3 linked regions of the Coturnix japonica genome follow. The protein of the gene in region 1 interacts with the protein of each later gene in a biochemical or structural test. Links are inferred from orthologs where the notes say so. Each region holds a gene or a part of one and is shown in the gene's direction. Other genes may lie near its edges. The genes, in order: RALBP1, DLG1 and RALA.

The links.
Region 2: the proteins of RALBP1 (region 1) and DLG1 interact in a test that uses a peptide from one of them, tested with the Homo sapiens proteins (2 studies listed by IntAct, with this or other methods). The link is inferred for Coturnix japonica from reciprocal best matches to the Homo sapiens genes RALBP1 and DLG1.
Region 3: the proteins of RALBP1 (region 1) and RALA form a complex in vitro, tested with the Homo sapiens proteins (3 studies listed by BioGRID). The link is inferred for Coturnix japonica from reciprocal best matches to the Homo sapiens genes RALBP1 and RALA.

Annotation. Positions count from the first base shown.
Region 1 is NC_029517.1:88,814,354-88,818,527, reverse strand, and holds the start of RALBP1 (ralA-binding protein 1), read left to right. Parts: upstream 1-1,318; 5' UTR 1,319-1,510; intron 1,511-4,174. UniProt on the Homo sapiens protein: Multifunctional protein that functions as a downstream effector of RALA and RALB. As a GTPase-activating protein/GAP can inactivate CDC42 and RAC1 by stimulating their GTPase activity.
Region 2 is NC_029524.1:10,829,498-10,833,544, reverse strand, and holds the start of DLG1 (disks large homolog 1), read left to right. Parts: upstream 1-1,247; 5' UTR 1,248-1,530; coding exon 1,531-1,549; intron 1,550-1,621; exon of another isoform or gene 1,622-1,658; coding exon 1,659-1,790; intron 1,791-4,047. UniProt on the Homo sapiens protein: Essential multidomain scaffolding protein required for normal development. Recruits channels, receptors and signaling molecules to discrete plasma membrane domains in polarized cells.
Region 3 is NC_029517.1:76,743,176-76,745,845, reverse strand, and holds the end of RALA (ras-related protein Ral-A), read left to right. Parts: intron 1-92; coding exon 93-215; 3' UTR 216-2,048; downstream 2,049-2,670. UniProt on the Homo sapiens protein: Multifunctional GTPase involved in a variety of cellular processes including gene expression, cell migration, cell proliferation, oncogenic transformation and membrane trafficking.

The DNA of each region.
Region 1 (4,174 bases):
CATTTCTCCGTTTTCTTACCCTTCACAGAACGGCAATCCGGAGCCGGTGACAATTCCAGTTCAAAGCGGTTATAGGAGGATGAAGCTGAGCAGATGGCTGCTGCCTTCCGAGCTGTCAATGTCAAACTCAGCAGCTATAGGGAACTATAACTATAGGGAAGGCAGGCTGGATGTAAACATCCATACAGCTGCACCAGCTGTTGTATTCATATGCCGTGTTCCTCGCTGGTTGTGTCACACATTCTAAGGCCTGTAGCTCACCGAGCCTTCAGTCAGACACCGCTAATACTTACGTTTCCATGTCAACCTGCTCAATTGGGGTTGCGGCCCTCGCCTGCCCCGGGGGGTTTCAGTGAACATGACCCAACTTTATGAGTTTACCCCAGCCGAGAAGCCGCTGGAACACCATGGGTACACTACCTCACACAGCACCAGCCGCCGCCCCCAGCACAGCCGTTAGGGGCGTTACAAACCAGACGAGGCACAGAATAACACAGAATCACAGAATGACCCGGGTTGGAAGGGACCTCAGGGATCATGTAGTTCCAACCCCCTGCCTGGCAGGGCCACCAAACATACACATTTACTAGATCAGGTTGCCCAGGGCCCCGTCCAACTTGGTCTTGAACACCTCCAAGGACGGGGCATCCACAACCTCCCTGGGCAGCCTGTTCCAGGGCCTAACCACTCTCCTAGTGAAGAACTTCCCCCTAACATCCAACCTAAATCTTCTCTGTTTTAACTTAAAACCATTTCCCCGTGTCCTGCTATTGTCAGCCCTTTTGAAGAGTTTACTCCCCTCCTGGGAATAAGTTCCCTTCAGGTATTGAAAGGCTGCAATGAGGTCACCCCGCAGCCTTCTCTAGGCTGAACAAGCCCAACTCCCTCAGCCTGTCCTCATAGGGGAGGTGCTCCAGCCCCCTGATCATCTTCGTGGCCCTCCTCTGGACCCTTTCCAAAATCTCCATGTCTTTCTTGTACTGAGGGCTCCACACCTGGACACAGTACTCCAGATGGGGCCTCACAAAAGCAGAGTAGAGAGGGACAATCACCTCCCTATCCCTGCTGACCACCCCTCTCCTGATGGAGCCCAGGATCCTATTTGCTTTCCGGAGCCAACAACTACCGCACCAGCCACCTCCCCCTGAGGTACTGCCGCTCCCCTTTCCCCGCCGCTGGGAGTTGTAGTCCGTCGGCAGGAAGCCGGCCCATCCCACTTCCGGTAGGAGTCCCCTAGAAAACTACACTACCCATCGTGCTTTGCGCGCGGGAGGCTTCTTCCCCTTCCCGCCTCTCTCTCGCGTCACCGCGCATGCGCAGAGTGCCTCCCTCCCTCACCCCGAGCGGAGGTGCGAGCGAGGGCGGCAGCGCGTGCGCGGTGCGTAGTGCGCGGCTGTTCCTCAGCCGTCCTTGCGGGCCGGGCGGCGGAGGCGGCGGGATGGGGAGCGAGGCGGAGCCGCGTGTGTGAGCCCGAGGCGGAGCCGCTGCGCCGGCGAGCGGGACCACGACGGTTAGTGCGAGCGGCTCCGCTCACCATCCCTTCATCGCCTGTGTGTGTGAAGGGCGAGGGAGCCGCTTCCGGGGCTGGCACGGGGGAGGGGGGAGGGATGAGGGATGAGGGGCGGGGGAGGGGCTGACCCGGGGCCTAACCCCTCGCTTAGCCCGGCGGCCGGCTGCTTGTTTCAGGGCCCTCCCGCTCACCTTGCCCGGCCCGTTGGCTGAGGGCACAGTGTGGGGTGGCCGGCCGTCTGCCTGCCTTCACCTGGAGGTACCGTCTGAGCAGCCCTTACCGCTGTCGGTGTTTGTCCGTGTGTTTGGCGAGTTGTCTGCCTGCAGTTTATGAGGACAGGCTGAGGGAGTTGGGTTTGTTCAGCCTGGAGAAGAGAAGGCTGCGGAGTGACCTCATTGCAGCCTTTCAATACCTGAAGGGAACTTACTCCCAGGAGGGGAGTAAACTCTTCAAAAGGGCTGACAGTAGCAGGACAAGGGGAAATGGATTTAAGTTGAAAGAGGGAAGATTTAGGTTGGATGTTAGGGGGAAGTTCTTCACTAGGAGAGTGGTTAGGCCCTGGAACAGGCTGCCCAAGGGGAGGTTGTGGATGCCCCGTCCTTTGGAGGTGTTCAAAGACCAGGTTGGAGGGGCCCTGGCACCTGATCTTAGTAAATGTGTATGTTTGGTGGCCCTGCCAGGCAGGGGGGTTTGGAACTACATGATCCTTGAGGTCCCTTCCAACCCGGGTCATTCTGTGATTCTGTGATTCAGTTTGTTGTGTGTTAGCTGCTCAGCATGTTGTGGGCTGCTTCGGGGTGTGTGTTGAAAACGTGTCTCTGCAGGCAGAGAGTATCAGCGTGAGGTGCGGGAGGAATAGAGCTGAGCTGACTGAAGGTGCTTGTGTTTGTTAGAGTACGAGCACAGCTATCTAATGAAAGCATCCCTTCGGGACAGTACCGTGCTCATCCCCCATCCTCAATTCACGGAATATCGTGGCCATCCTTAATGAAAAATAATAAAAAATAATAAGGTAGGGCCATTTTCTTGGTTGCGTAAAGCGAGTTTGTGTAAATGTCCTGCTTCCATTGCAGCAAGGTAGCAGCAATTGTGTTCTTATACCCACTAATCGTCTGGAAAGCCAGGTTGGAACTGGATGAGCATTAAGGTCCCTTCCAACCCAAACTGCTCTGCGGTGATCTGAACTGCAAACTTAAGCTATAATACAACCCTTTGGGCATAATAGCATTGAGGTTCTGTTGGATATGACCCAGGATTGTAATGGATGTGACTTCATTAGCAAGCTTAAACAACAGAAATAGAAAGATGTCCCTTTTAGTTTGTTTTTTATGTCATTTGAAATGTCATTGACAGGGTGTGCTGTTTGTTCGGTTCATATCAGTCCTGTACAGTCAGTGTGACATGTACTCTATAGGGGCTTTTCTCTACTGAGAAGAAAAAGAGAAGAATAGGCTGCTTATAAGGGATAAGCAGGGAACTTTGGGTTATCTGTTCCAGGGCTCTTATTTCTAACTGAGAAAATCAAGTTGATTTTTCAGTCTTCCCATGCATGCAATAGAAATAGCTGCCTCGAAGTTGGAATACAGTGCAATTCTGGCATTGTTCTGTCTTAGTGAAGGTCTGCTGGGGGAGTGGAGGTGTTATCTTCCTTAGAAAGTAACTTTTAGGCCCTTCCCTGATATGTTCTGGCCATGTTTTCTACCTGCAAGACTTTGAATGCTTTTGGACAGTCAGAGTTAGATGAAGAAATGCTGTTGGTTAGTAATAAATACCTGCAAATGCAGATGTTGTTTCCTTCTGCAAAGCTTGGTGTCAGGTAGCTGGCCTCAAAATGTCAAAATAAAGTATAGTATGACACTTATCTTCATTAATTGTATGCCTGGAGTAACGTACTAAGCCTTAATCTGAACTAACATGTCTGATTATTTTGAATCAGTGAGTGACTCACCACCCTTAAAAATAGGCACAGTTTGCCATATCACAGAATCACAGAATGAACCCGAGTTGGAAGGGACCTCAAGATCATGTAGTTCCAAACCCCCTGCCTGGCAGAGGCCACCAACATAACAATTTACTAGATCAGGTTGCCCAGGGCCCCATCCAACCTGGTCTTGAACACCTCCAGGACGGGGATCCACAACCTCCCTGGGCAGCCTGTTCCAGGGCCTACCACTCTCCGGATTTAAGAACTTCCCCTAACATCCAACCTAAATCTTCCCTCTTTCAACTTGGATCCATTTCCATATGCCAGCCTTATATTTTCACCTAAGAATCTATCAGCTTGCTCTTCTGTTCACCAGGGCCTTGTGGACGCACCTCAACAAAGAGACAACAAAGTGAGGAGGCAGGTCGATCTGTAGCAAAGGGAAGGCTGTTTGCCCATCCCAACCTATCACGGAATCATTAAGATGGAAAAGACCTCTGAGATCATCTAGTCAACCAACCGACCCATCCCTCCGTGCCACCAAACCAACGTCCTCAGTTGCCACTTCCACACAGTTCTTGAGAATCTTGGGGGATGTGATTTCCACCCAGCTCCCTGGGCAGCCTGTGCCACTGCCCAAAGAACTTAAAGGGCTTGAAATCCTGCCAAGCCCGCAAACTGCTCACAGTTTAGAGCCATAGACGGTGGTTCTATCTCACCTTTATGTACTTAGAATGACG
Region 2 (4,047 bases), on another chromosome or scaffold:
ATTCATAGGGTATTTTCTATACGTGCTGGAATTTCCAAACCATATTCTAAAGTTTCATACCATGAGCTCTGGTTCAACCACTCGGAATCAACAAATATCCCCTGGAACTGAAATAGCAGCACTAGGACCAGCCCCAATTGGAAGTGCATTAGGGCCCACCTAATTGCTTCCTGACTCACTGATCCTTCATCCTGACCCTTCTTTGATCTTTATTTTTTCCTTTTTCTGGTGCATGAGTGACAAGTGAGAAACGCCATCTGAGGGTGTTAGATGGGATTATTCCTCTATCCCCACAATGACCTTGCGTTATGGGATTCCATCTTAACACTGAAAAAGCATTCAAGTCCTGATTAAGAAGAACTTATTCAGTTCATTTAATTGCAAGTGTTTATTCATTTTTCGCTCTGTAATAAATGTTTTTGTCAGACAACAAACCAACCTCACTGCGTGGATATCTCCTTTCTGCTGGCTCAATCTGGGCTGCTCTTCTCCTCATGTACATGTACAACTCTGACACCACGGGGAATATGGACACTTTTAAAGTACGTTCAGTGTTGTTGTAAACACATGAAGCCAATGTCCATCCTCACTTAATATGGTCTCATTATAAGATATGTGGACTTGTACCAGAGAGTGCCAGATCCCTGATGCTACGGGAATTGGTAAAGTTCCCATAAATTGGTAAAACACACTGAATGCACGTTGTTTTCTTCACAGATCTACACGGGCTCTTCCATGGCAGAAAGCTGAGGGATGAACGGGGCTGGATCAGAGCAGAGCTCTGTGCTGGGTCCGTTTCCTTTAGGCGTGTTCCACAGCCGAACTCAGCGCTGGTTTTTGACTATCAAACCCACGTCCATTCCCAGGAGGTTCTTCCCTTCCACGGGGATGTTCCCAAGCCGAGTCTGTATCCGAAAAACCAACAGGAGATGCAGCCTGGGATGGGGAACGGCAGCAGCGGGATGGGCTCTGACTCCCAGCTCTGCCTGCGGGACACGCGATGTGCACGTGGGCTTTGAAGTGCTTTAGACATAGAAATAAGTGCATAGACATAGTGAGCAATAAGTTCATAGACATAGTGAGCAATAGGTGCTATGGACACAGTGAGCACTAAGCGCTATGGACACACTGAACCTCTCACCTTGCCTCCTCCCCCCGCCCCTCCGTTAGGTACCGGCCCCGGGCCGCTCCGTGCGCTGATTGGGCGGCAGCCGGGCCCGGTCACGTGGGAGAGGGGGGGTGCTCTCCCCCCAGCCTCCAGGCCGCCATTTTGGCTGGAAAGTTTGGAATTCCCGAGCGCTGAGCCGGGCGGTGGTTGTGCTGCTGCTGCTGGTTGTGGTGGCGGCTCGCCCTGCCCTGCCCGGCTACTATCAGCCGCCCCACCGCTGGTCCCGACCCGTCCCTCTCCTCGCTGAGCCGCCCCGGAGGGTCGCTGTGCGGGGCGGTCCCCCCCGCTCCCGGCCGGCAGGGGGTGCGCGCCGCCGCCGCCCCGAGCCGGGTCGGGCTCCAAGTTGAGGCGGCGGAGCGGCCATGCCCGTCAGGAAACAAGGTGAGCGGGGTCCCGGACAAAGGAGCCGCGTGGGGCGGTCCCGGGGGGTGGTCGTGGGGCACCGTGTCCCACCTGTGTAGTGCTCACAGAGTCTCGTGTTCGGCCGTAGATACGCAGCGCGCCCTGCGCCTCCTGCAGGAGTATCGCTCCAAACTGAGCCAGGCGGAGGATCGGCAGCTGCGGAACTCCATCGAGAGGGTCATCGGCATCTTCCAGAGCAACCTCTTCCAGGCGCTGATCGGTGAGCGATGCCCCTCCTCTAGGGTCGGGCTCTTGTGTGTTGGTGGTGAGGGGAAGCGAGTTGTTGTGTTGTCGGAGCCCTCGTGTCCCTCAGTGCTGTGTGTGTATCACGCTGACACGTTGCTGTTGCAATGAGCTGTTTTCTGTCACTTACTTTGTATGAGTTTTCTGCCCTGGCGCTGCAACGTGTCTGTTGTGGGCTGTGCCGTGCAGTCGGGTTTTCCACGTCTGTTTCTGTGGGTTTAAACAATTTATTAGGAATATGTTTTAGTTGTGAGCCCACGTGTCCACAATGAGTGAGCTGAAGTGGTTTTACTCTTAGAACTCGGGCAAATCTCCCTGCTGAAGGATCCCTAAAAATGCTGCAAGTTGTGTATTTCAGGAGCAGAATTAAAGTGAATGGAAGGAAACTTCTCATGTTGCAGGTGGCTGTGCTGACTTTTTCCTCTTCGGTTGTGAAGTGCAGTGAGAACCTCACTCATTCCCAGCTTCAGAGCACTTCTGGTGCTTTTTCTCTTTAGCCATTAATGTAAATATTGCTGAAATCATTCCGTGAAGCCTTGAATTTCCTGCACATCTCTTAGAAAACAAACAGAGCAAAATAAACACGTGGGGTATGAGCACAACTTGCAGAATCCTGACCTGACTTTGCAGCTTCTCCAGGGAGGCAGGGAGCTGTGGTTTCTTCCTGATTGGTTGTCACTGCGTATGTAACAGCTTGGAGTTTCATGCCCTTCCCTTTTAACAAAGTAACTTGCACATAAACTTTGTTTTAACATTGTAGACAGTCTGGGTTTCAGCTGTTACTTCGCAGTTACATGGTTTGAAGCCTATCTCACAAGTTTACATCTTCATAGTGCTGTGTCTTTGTGTTGTGGTGGAAACATGAGGAGGGTTGAAACATCGCTGCACATGAACTGCTTTCTCTTGGAGCATTTGTATCATCTGCAGGTGGGTTTTCAGAAGTTGGGCATCTTATGGAACATCTCCTGTATTATGTTCCTGATAGATGGTTGTTCAAATGGGTCTGTTCTCATAGGACACCTCTAGAAAGGGTTCACTTGCAGGAGCTCAGTTGATGCTCAGCAGCTCCGTGATGAGGATCTGCGCGCCTCTGTGTGATGTGTGTGAACAGACTTTGTTCTTTGCTGAATGAAATCATTGAAGTTGTGTATCGGAAGCTTAATACTGTGGTTATGCTTCTTATTTTCACCTGGGAAATCTCGCTCTTAGTTATTAATTGAATGAGATACAAGTCAGTAGTACGGAAATGGCCTTTGGTATTGTAACCTGTAAGACACACTTTATTCTAAAATCTGTAACAAGAGCCAGGTTGTCTGTGTAACTTAGCTCTTGGCAGTAGCACTCTTCAATTGGGGTTGCCACGTGCCTGCTGGAGGGCTTCATGCCTTGTTTTCTGATCTGTCAGAAGTTCTGTTGTAGCCGTGGGGTCTTTGATTCTGTCCGGTTCAGTTGATCTCAGCGTGCACAAATAGGTGTTGTGCTATTTGAGAGCATTTCACATTCATTTTGCATTTAGTGGTTAACTGTGTGATTGTATGTTAAGGAGCGTGCTTTAGTGCTCCAAGCTGTTCCTCTGAAATGTGATAGCAGAGAGTCACTTCCCAGCAATTGATGCTGTAACTTCAGTATTCTTCCTTTAACCTGCTCCATGGAAATGAGTTGGAGAAGTACTTGCTCATGGCAGGCTGCTCCTGGCAACATCTTTATACACTGGGACTACTGCTTGGTGCCCCCTGGGAGGGGGTCAGCTCCCTGCAGGGAGTAGGGGGCTGCCAGGAAAAGGTGCTGTGAGAGATGGCTGTGTTGGCTGAGAAGCCCTTGAGCACTAACTGCCCTCCTCCTACCTGTCCTCTTGCAGTGGAGGCTTGTGAACAGGCTGGACAAAGCTGTGCTGCTGGTTGGGCTTCCCTTGAATATTGCACTTGTAATTATCTTGTAGCTGATTTTTCAGGTGTGACTTTTATAGGAATTGTGCTGTGTCTCCAACTTAAACATCCACAGCTGCACTGACAGAAGCTTCCGTCCAAGCTCACATACTTTCCTTTAATTCCTTCAACAGATTTTAGTTCAGAAATCTTGCAAAATTGACCTGTTTCTTACATACAACAGTCTGCTTTAAAATGACTTGAATTAGGGCAGTGGCGACTCGGTGTGAGCAGTGTTACAAAATTGACGTTATCACATCAGTGTTATTTCTGTAAGTGAAATAACTGCAGTAATTTTAAGTCAGTAAC
Region 3 (2,670 bases), about 12 Mb from region 1:
TTTGTTCTAACCACCAGAAGTAGATGTCATCAGTGATAACCTGAACTAACTCTGACAGTGTTTTGGCATTTATATTCTTCCATCTTTTCCAGGTGTTTTTTGATTTGATGAGAGAAATTAGAGCCAGAAAAATGGAAGACAGCAAAGAGAAGAATGGGAAGAAGAAAAGGAAAAGCCTAGCTAAGAGGATCAGAGAAAGATGTTGCATTTTATAATCAAAACCCCAAATTCTTTTCCTACTTTGACCATACTAATAAAAAAACCATAATTTATAAGCATGCCATTGAAGGCTCAAGTGACTGAAATTACTCTAACGTGTTGGAAATTGTAATGTACCACTAAAAGCATGAATTGGAGCTGCACTGAAAGTCAGATTCACTGAAAAAGGTTGATGTGGCTTCAAGAGAAGCAAACCATTTCATAATCGCCTACCTTCTCACATTTCTTCTGAATGTAGTGTTTCATTGGAAGTCTTTTCTTTATTAGTAAACAGAGGGGGAAATATTACTTTCTGGTTTCTTGTAAAGCATACTTTTTTTTATCATTGATAATTGTCACTTTGTCTTGTCTTTCGTTGCCTTGAAAATTACAGTTGTGAACGTGATACCTAACAAAGCGGCATACACTTGTTTTGCCATGGAGTTATGCAGATTAGGAAAGAACAGTGTATATGCGAACAGTTATGCTGAGGAAAATTATATGTGGTTCCTCATTACCTGATTAACTTAGAAGAGTGATGTAATCTTTTACATTGAAACATTTGAATATGCCTTAATTTTAAAACCTAAACATAGCAGGTTGCTTAGTCAAGGGTGTATTTTCAGCTTGTTGCATGGAGACTCTTCCTGTGCATCAGTGTGAGCCTGCCCTCTCTGTAGAGTGGAGTTACATGAATGATCTTGCTAACTACCTGTCTGCTAGCGGTGTCTGTTCTTTAAATGTGTGCCATACTATGGTTTTGTGAATAATACAGAGCATATTCAGTCATCTGTAGCTTGGTGAACTGATGGTATCTTATAGCTAAAAGGTCAGAATACGTTTAAGATGGAAGTCAAAAGCCTATGGCACATCCGAGCCTGGAGTGGTTGCTTAAAACTTAACGTACTGATACCTTGAAGCTTCCCTTTGTGAGTAGATGTTTGTCTAGATGTTCCTTGGGTTTTAACTCCCTGGAGTAGCGTGGAGTGCAGCTGATTCAGTAGCGCTACTGTATTTTGAGTTAAGATGTTGTCTGGGTAATTCCAGTGTCATTGGTTAATTTCTTTTGTGTTCCTGATACTCAGCTGCAGGAACGCAGTGTGTTCTGCTGAAGCTCCCTGCAGGTTTTGTACTGTTTAGTCTATTTTATGTTGATTTTCAAATGGGGAACATTGTAGCTACTTTTTGTAGTTAATGTTGATATTAAACAATCAAAGATGCTTTTGCAATATAAAAACACTTACTGTGGACATCCAAAATCCCCAAATAAAATGTACTGCCTCAGTTGCTTTAGAACAGCAAGGATACTTGCACATGGTGAGTGTGCTGCATCTTAACTAAAAATATACCGGAACGTTTGAGGGTTTTGGACTCCTCTGGGATAAGATGGGCTAGATCAGTTCCACAAACTGTTACACTTTTTATACGTATGTAAACCTGTAACTGACAATTTAAAATGTACTCAAGCAAACTAGGTAACAAATATTTAACTTTCATGCTAACAGACATTTTAGGGACTCAAGTCTTAGAAGTTATATTTGTCACGTTAAATATTTATCAGTAGGAATTTTGTATGTGCGTTAGTAGACTGCCAAGTGCAGAACTGAAGTTACTCATGTAACTATGGCAAATGAGCCAGACATCATCTTCCTGTGTACTCATTTTGGTCTGTCTAGCCAGGGAGCCTAACCACTAACATTGTGACTTTGCTTTGGAATCTGTTTGCTGGGAGCTGAGGTGTTATGAAGCCACCAGACATATGAAACTTTGTCTTGGCTGATGCCTTACCCTGTTCTTTTGTTTGCTATTTGAGCCATTGAAAGATGAATAAACTTCCACTTTTTTAAATACTCGTGCAGTGTTAATTGATGACTATAGTATGTGTTGTGTTACTTTGTTAGAGTTGAGACTAGTTGTCAAGTTAAACTGAAATATTCCAGAGGTCTTTTTAGTGTTTGTGAACAAAAGAGAATTGTAGATTAAATTTAACCAGTCTGATTAAAAAATCCATTTTGTGAAAGCTGAGACTATGCATGTGCTACCTTTTATCCAATGTTAATTGATCCCTACTTGCTATGCCAGGGTATATCAGAAAGCAGACAGACAAAATCAAGGTAAGTGTGTTCCAGATGTACTTTTCCATAAGGATGGCAAGTGAGTTTTGTTTGCTTTGTTCTTTAAAGGAAATCCTTTAGAAGTCTAAGAAAAAAAAAGAAGTGCTTCTGAAGCTGTGTCTTCTAGCATTTTCTGGGATAATGTAAATTTGCTTCTCCAGCTTGCAGGGAAAGTAAGTTGAACTGTGTATAATAGGATTTTGATACATCCTGAGAGAGTCATCCAATGTGTGATCCATTTGGATTATAAATTCATGCTTTAGCCTACTTCTGTGCCTTAAACTGCTAGGTCTACCTGCTTGAAGTACTTCTTTGGCCTTACGCATTTTCCCTCCTCTTTCTCCTCCAAGAAGTCAAA